Linked DNA regions of Xenopus tropicalis. The protein of the gene in region 2 purifies or fractionates together with the protein of the main gene of each other region. This does not show direct contact. Links are inferred from orthologs where the notes say so. Each region holds a gene or a part of one and is shown on either strand. Other genes may lie near its edges.

Region 1 (3,500 bases), on a different chromosome or scaffold from region 2:
CCATTCAAAGGAGAAAAGGCACATAGCAGATAACATATAAAACACTATTGTATTCTACAGAACTTATCTGTTATCTGCTATGTAACCTGTGCCTTTTCTCCTTTTTTCCGGTTTGAATGGCAGCCCCCATGGCTACACAGCAGCTTATTATATAAATTATAGTAGTGTTACTGTAGCAAACACACCAGTTTTACCAGTGCAGGGCAACAGTGCATTATATTTTTATTACTTTAAAGCTCTTTCATTTTTTGGTGTTACTGTTCCTTTAAGGTGGTAGTACACAGTCAGATTTTCTCATCCTCAAATGAAAGATCCTATTATTAAACAATCATTTGACCATAAGATATGCCACTTTAACTATAATCCATGCAGAAGCGTAAGCAGCACACCATAAGTCTGAGATGATGCCTGGGTGCTCGTGCGGTAATTGTAAATGTATTTCATACGAGTGACGGCACTCACAGGAACTTTATACACATGTCCATAATTAAAGAAAAAACTTTAGGTTTATTAGATCCAACGTTTCAGTCCCATACTGGGAATTTCACAGTTCCTGTGAGTGCCGTCACTCCTATGAAATCCACTTTAACTATAAGATATGCCATCAATGGAAAACATCCATGTCATTCTGTACATCCATAATGTGATATCAGTTTATGGTGAAAGCAGTATGTACAGGAAACAGAAAGTAATGTATATTTTGTAAAGAATTTCTAAAACGAAACATTTCCTGCAATGGCTTTGTTTATGAATTCAAATAGAGATGTACTTGCTATTGTTTTCCTCAGTAAAAAAGAAAAAATAAGTAGCAAACAGTGGCTTATGAACCATGAACAGTTTCCCAGTACATAAGAAAAAGAAGTCCTGATGATTAAAAATGTGCGCAGTGCTTGCAAGTATTCTTTTCTAAAATCTTTTTTACAAAGTGTTTTTCTAAAGCTTAAAGGAAATATTGCATATTTATTTTGTATTTACATGCACTGTCCAGCACACACAAGGGATGGAGTTATGAGGGGGTCAAGCTTCAAAAAGCCAATATTTGTTTTGCATGAAGCTGAAAAAACACATGTAAGCATAATTAGAGCTTTCTTTGACCAGACCGAAATGGAACTATAATTTTTACCTTTGAAACTTCTGGTACAAAAGGCACATGGTTTCATACTTTTTCTTTAACTTTGAAATTGCATTGTCAACTTTGTTACTGAGAACATCCATGTTGATATCCATTTCTCTCAAAAGTCGAAAACATCTACTAACACTAATATAAAAAAAGGAAAAAAAAACACATTAAAACTTTAGGATACATAAAAAGTGAATATTATATGACTATATCCATACCCACTTATACAGCAAAAGATTGCTGGTCAGAGGTCTTAGGCAATTACAGTTCACACATTAAAAATACTTAGCATATCTAAAAACTTACCTTAGCGTCAAAGTTTTTAACAGTTCTGTAAATGTAAACGTCATTTCCTCACAGTCCACAGAAGCAATATAAAGGCAAAGACCCAATAACTCTGTTTTCTTGGTGGCTTCTCTCTAATATGATAAAACAAAGTATGTTCTAGTTAGCATTTTTAGAGATTGCTTGGATTATCTTTTAAACAAAGCAGATAAATATTTTGAAATACAAATCAAAAAATTAGGTAACATAACTCAAAAGGGCTTTTATGAGCCCATAGGCAACTGACAAATTTTATTTTTAGCGGTTACTGGGATATTTAGTTTAAAACTATCAATGGGCATTCAGCTCAGCTGAGCTCTTAGACTGTAAGCTGTCTTGAGCAAGGTCCTCACTCGATTGTCTACTAAATATGTAATTGTAACAGTGCATTTATTCTGGTGAAATGTTTGTCTCTAGTAAATTGCACAGTTCATATTATTTATCTAGATTTCGGTGAGGTTTTTAATGATAGGGCGATTCAGAAACTGCAACCAACACACTAATGCTGTGAGTCCCTGACAGATTTTCCCTGCTGATTTCAGCATGAGGCACTACTGACACACAGCATGGATGGCTTGTTTGTAATAGGACAAAATGTTAGGTTTTAGCAAACTAATAAAGTATTTATATCTCAGACATAAAATAATTAAACCTGTTTGTAGGGTTGCCACATTTTATTGGCTGACGGTCTTGAAAGGGGGTGGAGCATGTGACGTATGGGGCAAAACAAATGTTTAGGGGTGGACCAGTGATGTATTTTTCAGATGGGCAGTATCTCTACTATGTTTTTTTGCTTCAGTCTAATGTAGTTCCTTATATTTGCATCCCCTTATTTGGTGCACAACACAATATTAAATTCATCCAAAGTTCAAAAACATATACCATACCAAAAGTCCTTTTAGCACAAAATTTCAGAATACAAAGAGCCGCATATGGCCTCCTGTCGGCAATCAATTTATTGCTGGTGGGAAGGTATTTCTGGGAGATTAGTCACCTGTGATAGTTGAGATTTAACCGTAAATGACTAATCTCCCTATGTGCCATAGCCCTAAAGGGATACTATAACAGCGAAGTGCACAATAAAAGACAAAAACTGAGCTGTAATCAACTGGGAGATCAAAAAGGCTGAGACACAAGAACTGAATAGGTGAGACAATAGCTGCCTGAAAGGACTTGCATTGTGCTTTGCTGGCTGTTTCTGAAAGTACTACATCATGCATAATGAACTGAGAAAGCTGACTACACACCATTATTTAAACAGAAAAAAAAAAATGTATTGGTCTGTGAAAAAAGGTATCTTATACCTGATCCCAACTAAGGTATAATGAATCCACATAGTAAGCAAAACAAACCTATTGAGTTTAATTAATACATAAATGATTTTGTAGTACGCAGAACCAAATTACAGAAAGATCCCTTATCTGGAACACCCCAGATCCTGAGCATTCTGGATAACAGGTCCCATACCTGTATTATAATCTACACCATAAAACTCTGGTATCCCTTTAAAAAAATTGAAAATCTTACCACCTAAAACCTGTTGAGATGCTAAAGGAGTCAGTGGGTAGTTTGGTTTCAACATTTAAGCAAATTTGCAGCTTGGGTAAATGACTAGGACAGACAGGTAACTTTCCAGCACTATTAAACCACCAGACAAATGTGTCCATAATTAGATGGATAGTCCAGTATTAAAGATGTTTAAATGTGTCAATATGTGCACCTATCACCCAAAAATTCTTCAGCATGACCCCATCAGAACTGGTGCAACAGACTGCCCAGATGTGCTACATGCAAAGCTAAATTACTGTCAAAAAAGATCTGTCATACAGATCATAAGCTTTCATTACTAGAAGTTAGATCTCATACACAATCATATTAATAATACTTACCATCATATAGCCGGAGGAAAATATTTTCTCATATGTCTTCCAAGCTTTATCTCTAACATTGTTAGAAATCTTCAAAGTTTCACACAAAACATTAAAGTCTGGATCTTGAAAATCAGGCCTGAAAGATGTAATAAGAATGTGTGTGAATGTAAGAGGGAACTCACATT
Region 2 (4,003 bases):
GTCTCTACGTGTGTTTTAGCAGAGGCAGTTCTCAGTATTGTCTATGGCAGGGTATTATCTGGCGTTTAGTAGCTGTGACAAGTAGCTGCTACTAAGTAGCTCCGTGTGTCTTCATCCTTAAGGCGGCCATAGACACTAAGATCCGCTTGTTTGGTGACCTCGCCAAGCGAGCAGATCTTCTCCCGATATCCCCACCTACCTTGGCGATATCGGCCTAATTCAGTCGTTTGGCCCCAGGGCAAACCGATTGAATTAGAACAACTGGTATAGGCATCCATCGGTTTGGGGAACTAATCAACTATGCAGCCCCCAATCCGACAAAATCAAACCGATCAAGATCTGTTTTTTAGATTTCAGGCCAGATGTGGGTCGGGCAGGCCCGTTGTTAGTGCCCATACACAGGTTGGTAAGCTGCCGTATCGGTCTAAGGGACAGATATCGGCAGCTAGAATCGCCCGCATATGGCCACCTTTAGGCATTTTTATTCTGTATGATATGAGGGTGAAGACACAGGGAGCTACTTAGTAGCAACTATTTGCCGCTGCTACTAAAATTCAGAATATCCTCTGCCATAGACAATACTGAGATTCGCCTCTGGTAAGACACACGTAGTGACAATTATCAGTAAACGATCAGCATTAGTAGTTTCTGTAGCCATGACAAGTAGCTGCTACTAGTAACTCCCTAAGGGCAGTGGCACAAGGGGAGATTAGTCGCCTGTGATAAATCTTCGTTATTGCGGGCGACTAGTCTCCCCGACATGCCATCCCACTCTAAAGAATGTAAATGGCCGAGGGGATGCCATACGCGCCTCTTCAGTTTTCCAAAGTCGCCCAAAGTTTCCATGCAAGGCAACTTCAGAACGTCTCGGATGTGGTACATCCCAACAATTACCAGTATCATTCTCCCCAAAATACACCAACATCTTTATGTACTGTCTGCCTCCTTTTCCTCACACCCACTTGTGTGCTCTCCAGTCACCAGTGGGACCAGCCCATTCAAATTCTCACCAACAGCCCTGTGCCCCCCATCACTCCCACGCTCCCCAGCGGCACTGTGCCCCCCATCACTTCCCACGCTCCCCAGCGCCACTGTGCCCCCTCATCACTCCCACGCTCCCCAGCGCCACTGTGCCCCCCCATCACTCCCACGCTCCCCAGCGCCACTGTGCCCCTCATCACTCCCACGCTCCCCAGCGCCACTGTGCCCCCCCATCCACTCCCACGCTCCCAGCGCCACTGTGCCCCCCATCACTCCCACGCTCCCCAGCGCCACTGTGCCCCCCCATCACTCCCACGCTCCCCAGCGCCACTGTGCCCCCCATCACTCCCACGCTCCCCAGCGCCACTGTGCCCCCCCATCACTCCCACGCTCCCCAGCGCCACTGTGCCCCCCATCACTCCCACGCTCCCCAGCGCCACTGTGCCCCCCCCATCACTCCCACGCTCCCCAGCGCCACTGTGCCCCCCCATCACTCCCACGCTCCCCAGCGCCACTGTGCCCCCCATCACTCCCACGCTCCCCAGCGCCACTGTGCCCCATCACTCCACGCTCCCAGCGCCACTGTGCCCCCATCACTCCCACGCTCCCCAGCGCCACTGTGCCCCCCCATCACTCCCACGCTCCCCAGCGCCACTGTGCCCCCCCATCACTCCCACGCTCCCCAGCGCCACTGTGCCCCCCCCATCACTCCCACGCTCCCCAGCGCCACTGTGCCCCCCCATCACTCCCACGCTCCCAGCGCCACTGTGCCCCCCCATCACTCCCACGCTCCCCCAGCGCCACTGTGCCCCCATCACTCCCACGCTCCCCAGCGCCACTGGTGCCCCCCATCACTCCACGCTCCCAGCGCCACTGTGCCCCCCCCATCACTCCCACGCTCCCCAGCGCCACTGTGCCCCCATCACTCCCCAGCGCCACTGTGCCCCCCCCCATCACTTCCCACGCTCCCCAGCGCCACTGTGCCCCCATCACTCACACGCTCCCCAGCGCCACTGTGCCCCCCATCAGTCCCACGCTCCCCCAGCGGCCCTGTGCCCCACGTTCCCCCAGCTGCCCTGTGCCCCTCTCCTACCCCACACACTCCCCAGCTGCCCTGTGCCCCTCTCCTACCCCACACACTCCCCAGCTGCCCTGTGCCCCTCTCCTACCCCACACTCCCAGCTGCCCTAAACACAGCCCCCCAGGTCTCCCTGCTCTGCAGAACCCACCCCTTAGTGACCCCATTACCCGAATTAACACTGGCACCCCTGTGTGCCCCCCACTCTCGCACCCCGGCCCCCCCACTCACACATTAGTGCCCCACCGCCCAACCCCAGTGGCACCCACCCTCTCCCATCACTTTCCCAGTCCCAGTCACTTGTAGCCCATGAAACTTTCCCTCTATCCCCTCCTCCCACTCACTCGCCCTGTATCCTTCTCCCGGCGCCCTCCCCTCCCACACGGTACCTCTCCGCCACATCCCATCATGCCCCTCTCCCACCCTTGCCCACAACCCACCTCTCTTATTGCCCACTCTCCCCAGGCACCCCAATACCTTCTGCTCCTCGCTGCTATCAGGCCCCTTTGTCCCTTCTGTACCTCCCATTCCCCGCCCACTTCATTCAATAGATGCCCAGGCTCCCCCCGCCGGACACCAGCAGCATGAGAGGCAGCCGGACAAACGCCTTACCCGCCCCTTTCCTTACCTAACTTGCCCCCAAATCCTTCAGCCGTCTCTCTCCAACTATCACCGGGAACACCGGGTCGTTCCCGCCGCTACCTCGGCTCAATTTCTCTGCTCACCCCTCCCCCTTTCTTTTAGCTGCCTAGCACGCAGCGTGCGCGTTACGTCATTGCGTCGCCTGATAGACTGGAGTGGGGCTCTGAGCCGGGAGCGTTGCCATGGAGACATCAGGGGAAGGACAGACATGTTTGATAAGGGAACACCCCCACCCTCCCCACACACGCTCTCCTATGCCTTCTTCTTCCAGTAATATTCCGCGGCTTTTCCCACAAGAATATGCTGTACTTAGGCTATCATGTTGTCTTTATATTTGCTGTTGCTTGTAGTGGGCTCCAAAAAGGCCCTTATTATTTAGGAACATGAGTTTTTGCGTGGGGTGCAATAAAGATAAACGAGAAAATGATGAATAACACTGTGTAAGGCTTGTTAGAAATATAGTCAATCATGCACCCTATATTGTAAAATATAAGGACTTGTCACCAAGCAATTCAATGATATTATAATATTCTGGCCAGTAAAAATGATGCCAATGTTATTGACAGCAAAGTAAGATAAATATATAGAAAGCACAAGGGAAAGGTGGCCACCCTAATCATGTGACACAAATTACATCACTAAGAACCAATTCAAATTGATGACATCAGTAAGCACACCTTATAAAGGTATAATTTGCAGGATTTTCACGAGTCTTCTATAATATAGAAATCATATACCTCATGGCTGGGCCTGCAGATTGGATGGCCATAATTTGTGTAAATTACCCTTATTCAGATTGACAAACCAAAAATACTCAAGGGATGTTATATTGACCAATTAGTGGATTAAGATATACAAATTATGTCTTATATGACTTTTACTAGCAATTAGAATAATGGCACGCTTTTGTCTGAGATATACAAAGCAAGCGATTAGCCATTTTTTATAAGGATTTGGCTAACGGAGGTCATTGTGTCATTTCAGAATAGGTCACATGATCACAGCAACCATGTACCTGACATCAAAGGAAATTGAGTGTGAGATGATGAATTTGCTCCATCCCATCAACAGTGTCTAGTCGTTACAGATCTTTACAAAAAAAAGGAATATAACTCAGTACATCGCCAGAAAGGTCCATATTTAAGAGTGAAAACAGAGCGTTAGAGTTCCTTTCTGGTGCACTGTTGTAAACTATCATTTCAGTACCTAAGATGCAATTTGACTGGCTTCAGTTTATCTTTTGTGGGACTATGTGGTTCAATAAAAAGTAATCATGTGTTGCTTTATGTTTCATTGGTTTAA
Region 3 (3,500 bases), on a different chromosome or scaffold from region 2:
ATCTAATATCACAGGAAAATGTCACACAGTATATATTTAAAAGAGAAAATTATTATTACAACCCTTTCTGTAAGTCTAAAACTTCAGGTGATTATTTACGGAATACTCCTTCCTGCTCTACTTCGTAGCAAGTTGTATTGTGACCTTTTGTGGGGAGGTTTTCACATAGGATATGTTTACAGCAGTGCAATGAGCATTAGTAAAGGATCATTTAGTAAGTAAAAATCAGCAAACAAGAAAGACTAGTTTATGCAAGCAGAATGAAAATTATTCATATGCTGTTTTCCTCCCAAACAGGCAACTCACAGAAACTGATATAGCGAACATTAGACTAATGCTGCTGTCTATTCCCCCAGGCTTCATGCTGCCTCGCTGTCTTTACCGTGATTATCCCTTTTGCTACGTAGCGCTGCCGCTCGCCGTAGGCCTGTACCTTCCGTGCGCTTCTGGAAAGAGGAGGGAACTCCGTAAGGCTGTCATCATCCCGGGGGTCTGGCATAATTCTCTTCTCAATGGGGTCTGAACGCAGAAGAGCTTCAAGGCTACTGCCATCTGGTGGTATTAAGCCCTCTTTCTTTAACATCTGTTCGGGGTCTGAAATGCACAATAACCTTAAGTTTTGATAAAGATATATTCTTTTTTCCATTGGATTCCTCTAAATTACCAAAAATCAATGGACATTGTTTATCATGCACATTCAACATTTTTTAATAGTGCATCCATTGTCGAGGTAAAGTGAAAATAGTCTAATAAATGTTCTGCTATTCTAAAAAGAAATTGTATTTGCTCTAAATATATCTTACACATCGGAAGACTGTTGGTTTTCTTACTAAAAATTACCACAAATCTAAAGTCTGCAAAATATAATAATGCCTTTTTTATTGCCTAACATTTTCAATGTAAGGGGAAAAAACAAAGGTTTGACCTGCCAATTGTTTTACAGACACCTCTTTCATATATCTCATGAAAGATTAGGTATACAAATATTTGTTCCAAAATGTTCATCACGATTATATCAAAACATGAAAATAAAATGAAATTCCCATTAAGCCATGAAACAAGGCCCTACTGCTACTTGACAAGAACCAAAGAACTATACTGATTTTCTATGTCCTCTAGCACAGTCAATTAATATTCTGCAGGTTTAGCTATGTAAAGCAAACAAGGCTAAACTTGGACTTGGTAAATATTGTAACACGTGATTACTGTTGAAATTTGCACTGAATAATTGAAAATATTGGTGTGGAAGAAGTGTGCTGTTTCGCTTTGTTTTAAGCCAACAAGGCTATGACTAACAAAATGAACTGTAACTATATTCCAGGCTGGCCCTGTGTTGCTATTCTCAACAAATGCCTTTTTTGCTTTGTGTATGGAAAGTGTATTTACAAGACAAAAAGAAAAAAAAACTCACTAGCCCTTAAGTGCAGTGTTTTGATTTCAGTGATGTTGGGCTCAGAAAAGCCTGCCCCCTTTTACCTGGTTTGAGAGATGGGAAAGAGAGCCTGGGATCTTCAGGGGGATGTGCCCTTCTCTTTTTGCGCCAGCGTCGAGATGGATATGTATAAAGTTGCCCTGGTGCAGAACCTTAAAAACCAAAATAAAATAATTTACCAAAACATAGGTAATGCTTTTTTGGGGGGGAGGGGAGGAATAAAAAAAACGCAATCATTTAGTAAAGCCTCAGTAAATTACCAATAATCAAAATCAGCATATCTTTAACCCTTTTCTGTAAAGACATCTGATAGAGGATTTATACAGAATGTATGGGATAAAACTTCCTTTTGCAGTTGTGTTTCTATACAAAAAGTAGGCTTCTTTCTTCCTTTTCTGTATCCCTCCCCTAAAATTAAACTTAAAGATGGGCACAAACTAAGATGACATTGTGCCCAACTCATGAACATGCTCTTTCCTTACTGATGACACAGCCAGTACTTCCAGTACTTCAATTTTTAATTAAGGGCCTTAGTAACTAAGGGACAGAAGGTTTGAAACCTGGTGCCTGCAGAATAGATACTTAAATTAATGTCCAAGCATAAAAAGCAACGTTTGGAGTAGGTTTCCGAAGAATGCCCTGAAATCTAAAATGCTAAATCCTGGCAAGGGTAAGAAATTACCTGGGCATAGATAATAAACTTCAAAATATTCCATATATTTCTGTGGTATTAGTATGGTTTGATAACACAAGTACATTTTCAGTAGCACATAATCTGTTATACCTTTGAGGGCTGAGCACTTTCAAGTCTAAACCATATACACATTAAGACCCTTGAAAAACTTTTCTTGTGAATTGCAAGGATTCTAGGTCCTCAGTACATTCATGGTCATCATTTAAGTTTCAGCTCTGCGAAAAGTGTCACAGTTATTATTTTAAATCAAGGCCATCTGCTTGAGTTTGTTGCAAGCATAATTAACAGGGGCTTGCAACTTCTGTCAATTCTTAAACACATGGGAATGTACAAAAGGGATCTTGCAGCACTATGCTATGCAGGGCCAGCAACAGACAGGTTAAGAAGCTATACAATCTTACAGGACATAATATTTTACCTGGCCCACGATGTCTCTTCTCCATCCAAATGTAGCAATTGCTTTGAGCCACCCCTGTTTGAGAGTCTAAGAAAGGCATTCGGACACTGCGCTCAGCGCACAGGCGAGCATTATAATTGTGGCACTGCTCCATGGCATCCTTGTAATACTGTTCTCCAAGGCTAGAAGAAAAAATATATATATTTGTAAAGTTATGGGATGTGAGCAAATTGCTTCACTCGCTTTAAACTGGAAGCCTGTGTGGTGGTTGTGCTGAAATTATCAATGGAAAACTATTTCATCAGAATTAATTTTTAACAGATAACGCATATCAAAATAAAAGAGCTCTGTCCATTCACTAGATATATATGTGGGCCCATCATTTCTGTGTGAGCACAGTGAAGGTGGCCAAACAATCAAATTATTATATATGTATATGGGCCGTCGGATTAACAAGCCAATGTAGTCCCCGATCTGATGGGAAACTTAAGTGACCACCTCAAGATTATGCTCTGGAGCAGTGGTCCCCAACCAATGGCTCAGAAGCAACATGTTGCTCCCAATAGCCTAAAGAAGGTGCTCATTATTGAATTATTGACCCAGAGGAAAGTTTTGATTGCATAAAAACCAGGTGTACTGGACAGTCTTCTGCAGGCTGCCAGTCCACATAGGGGCTACCAAATAATCACAGCCCTTATTTGGTACCCTCAGGTACATTATTCATTCTTGTGCTGCTCCACAACTTTTTTATCCATTTAAATGTGGCTTAAGGGCAAAAAAGGTTGGGGACCCCAGCTCTGGAAAAAGGCAATAATAATTTATAACAAAAAAAAATAAAAAATAAAGATTGTGCCAAACCAACTAACTTGTTTTGTTTAATGTAGCAGATACATTAAAAACAGTGGGGCTGCAGTAGAGCTAACTGGTCTTTGGCAAAAGGTTTTGATACAGAGCTGCATAAATGTTGGCTTTCTAAA

Evidence for each region.
Region 1: the proteins of smarca4 (region 2) and rb1 purify together in Homo sapiens (affinity purification with western blotting; 7 studies listed by BioGRID, with this or other methods). This does not show direct contact. The link is inferred for Xenopus tropicalis from reciprocal best matches to the Homo sapiens genes SMARCA4 and RB1.
Region 3: the proteins of smarca4 (region 2) and dpf2 purify together in Homo sapiens (affinity purification with mass spectrometry; 13 studies listed by BioGRID and IntAct, counting the BioPlex papers as one, with this or other methods). This does not show direct contact. The link is inferred for Xenopus tropicalis from reciprocal best matches to the Homo sapiens genes SMARCA4 and DPF2.

Annotation. Positions count from the first base shown.
Region 1 is NC_030678.2:134,932,316-134,935,815, reverse strand, and holds part of rb1 (retinoblastoma-associated protein), read right to left. Parts: intron 3,452-3,500; coding exon 3,334-3,451; intron 1,540-3,333; coding exon 1,427-1,539; intron 1,259-1,426; coding exon 1,124-1,258; intron 1-1,123. UniProt on the Homo sapiens protein: Tumor suppressor that is a key regulator of the G1/S transition of the cell cycle. The hypophosphorylated form binds transcription regulators of the E2F family, preventing transcription of E2F-responsive genes.
Region 2 is NC_030679.2:138,912,839-138,916,841, reverse strand, and holds the start of smarca4 (transcription activator BRG1), read right to left. Parts: upstream 2,801-4,003; 5' UTR 2,688-2,800; intron 1-2,687. UniProt on the Homo sapiens protein: ATPase involved in transcriptional activation and repression of select genes by chromatin remodeling (alteration of DNA-nucleosome topology).
Region 3 is NC_030680.2:32,338,331-32,341,830, forward strand, and holds part of dpf2 (zinc finger protein ubi-d4), read right to left. Parts: intron 2,706-3,500; coding exon 2,545-2,705; intron 1,585-2,544; coding exon 1,477-1,584; intron 595-1,476; coding exon 434-594; coding exon of another isoform or gene 383-433; intron 1-382. UniProt on the Homo sapiens protein: Plays an active role in transcriptional regulation by binding modified histones H3 and H4. Is a negative regulator of myeloid differentiation of hematopoietic progenitor cells. Might also have a role in the development and maturation of lymphoid cells.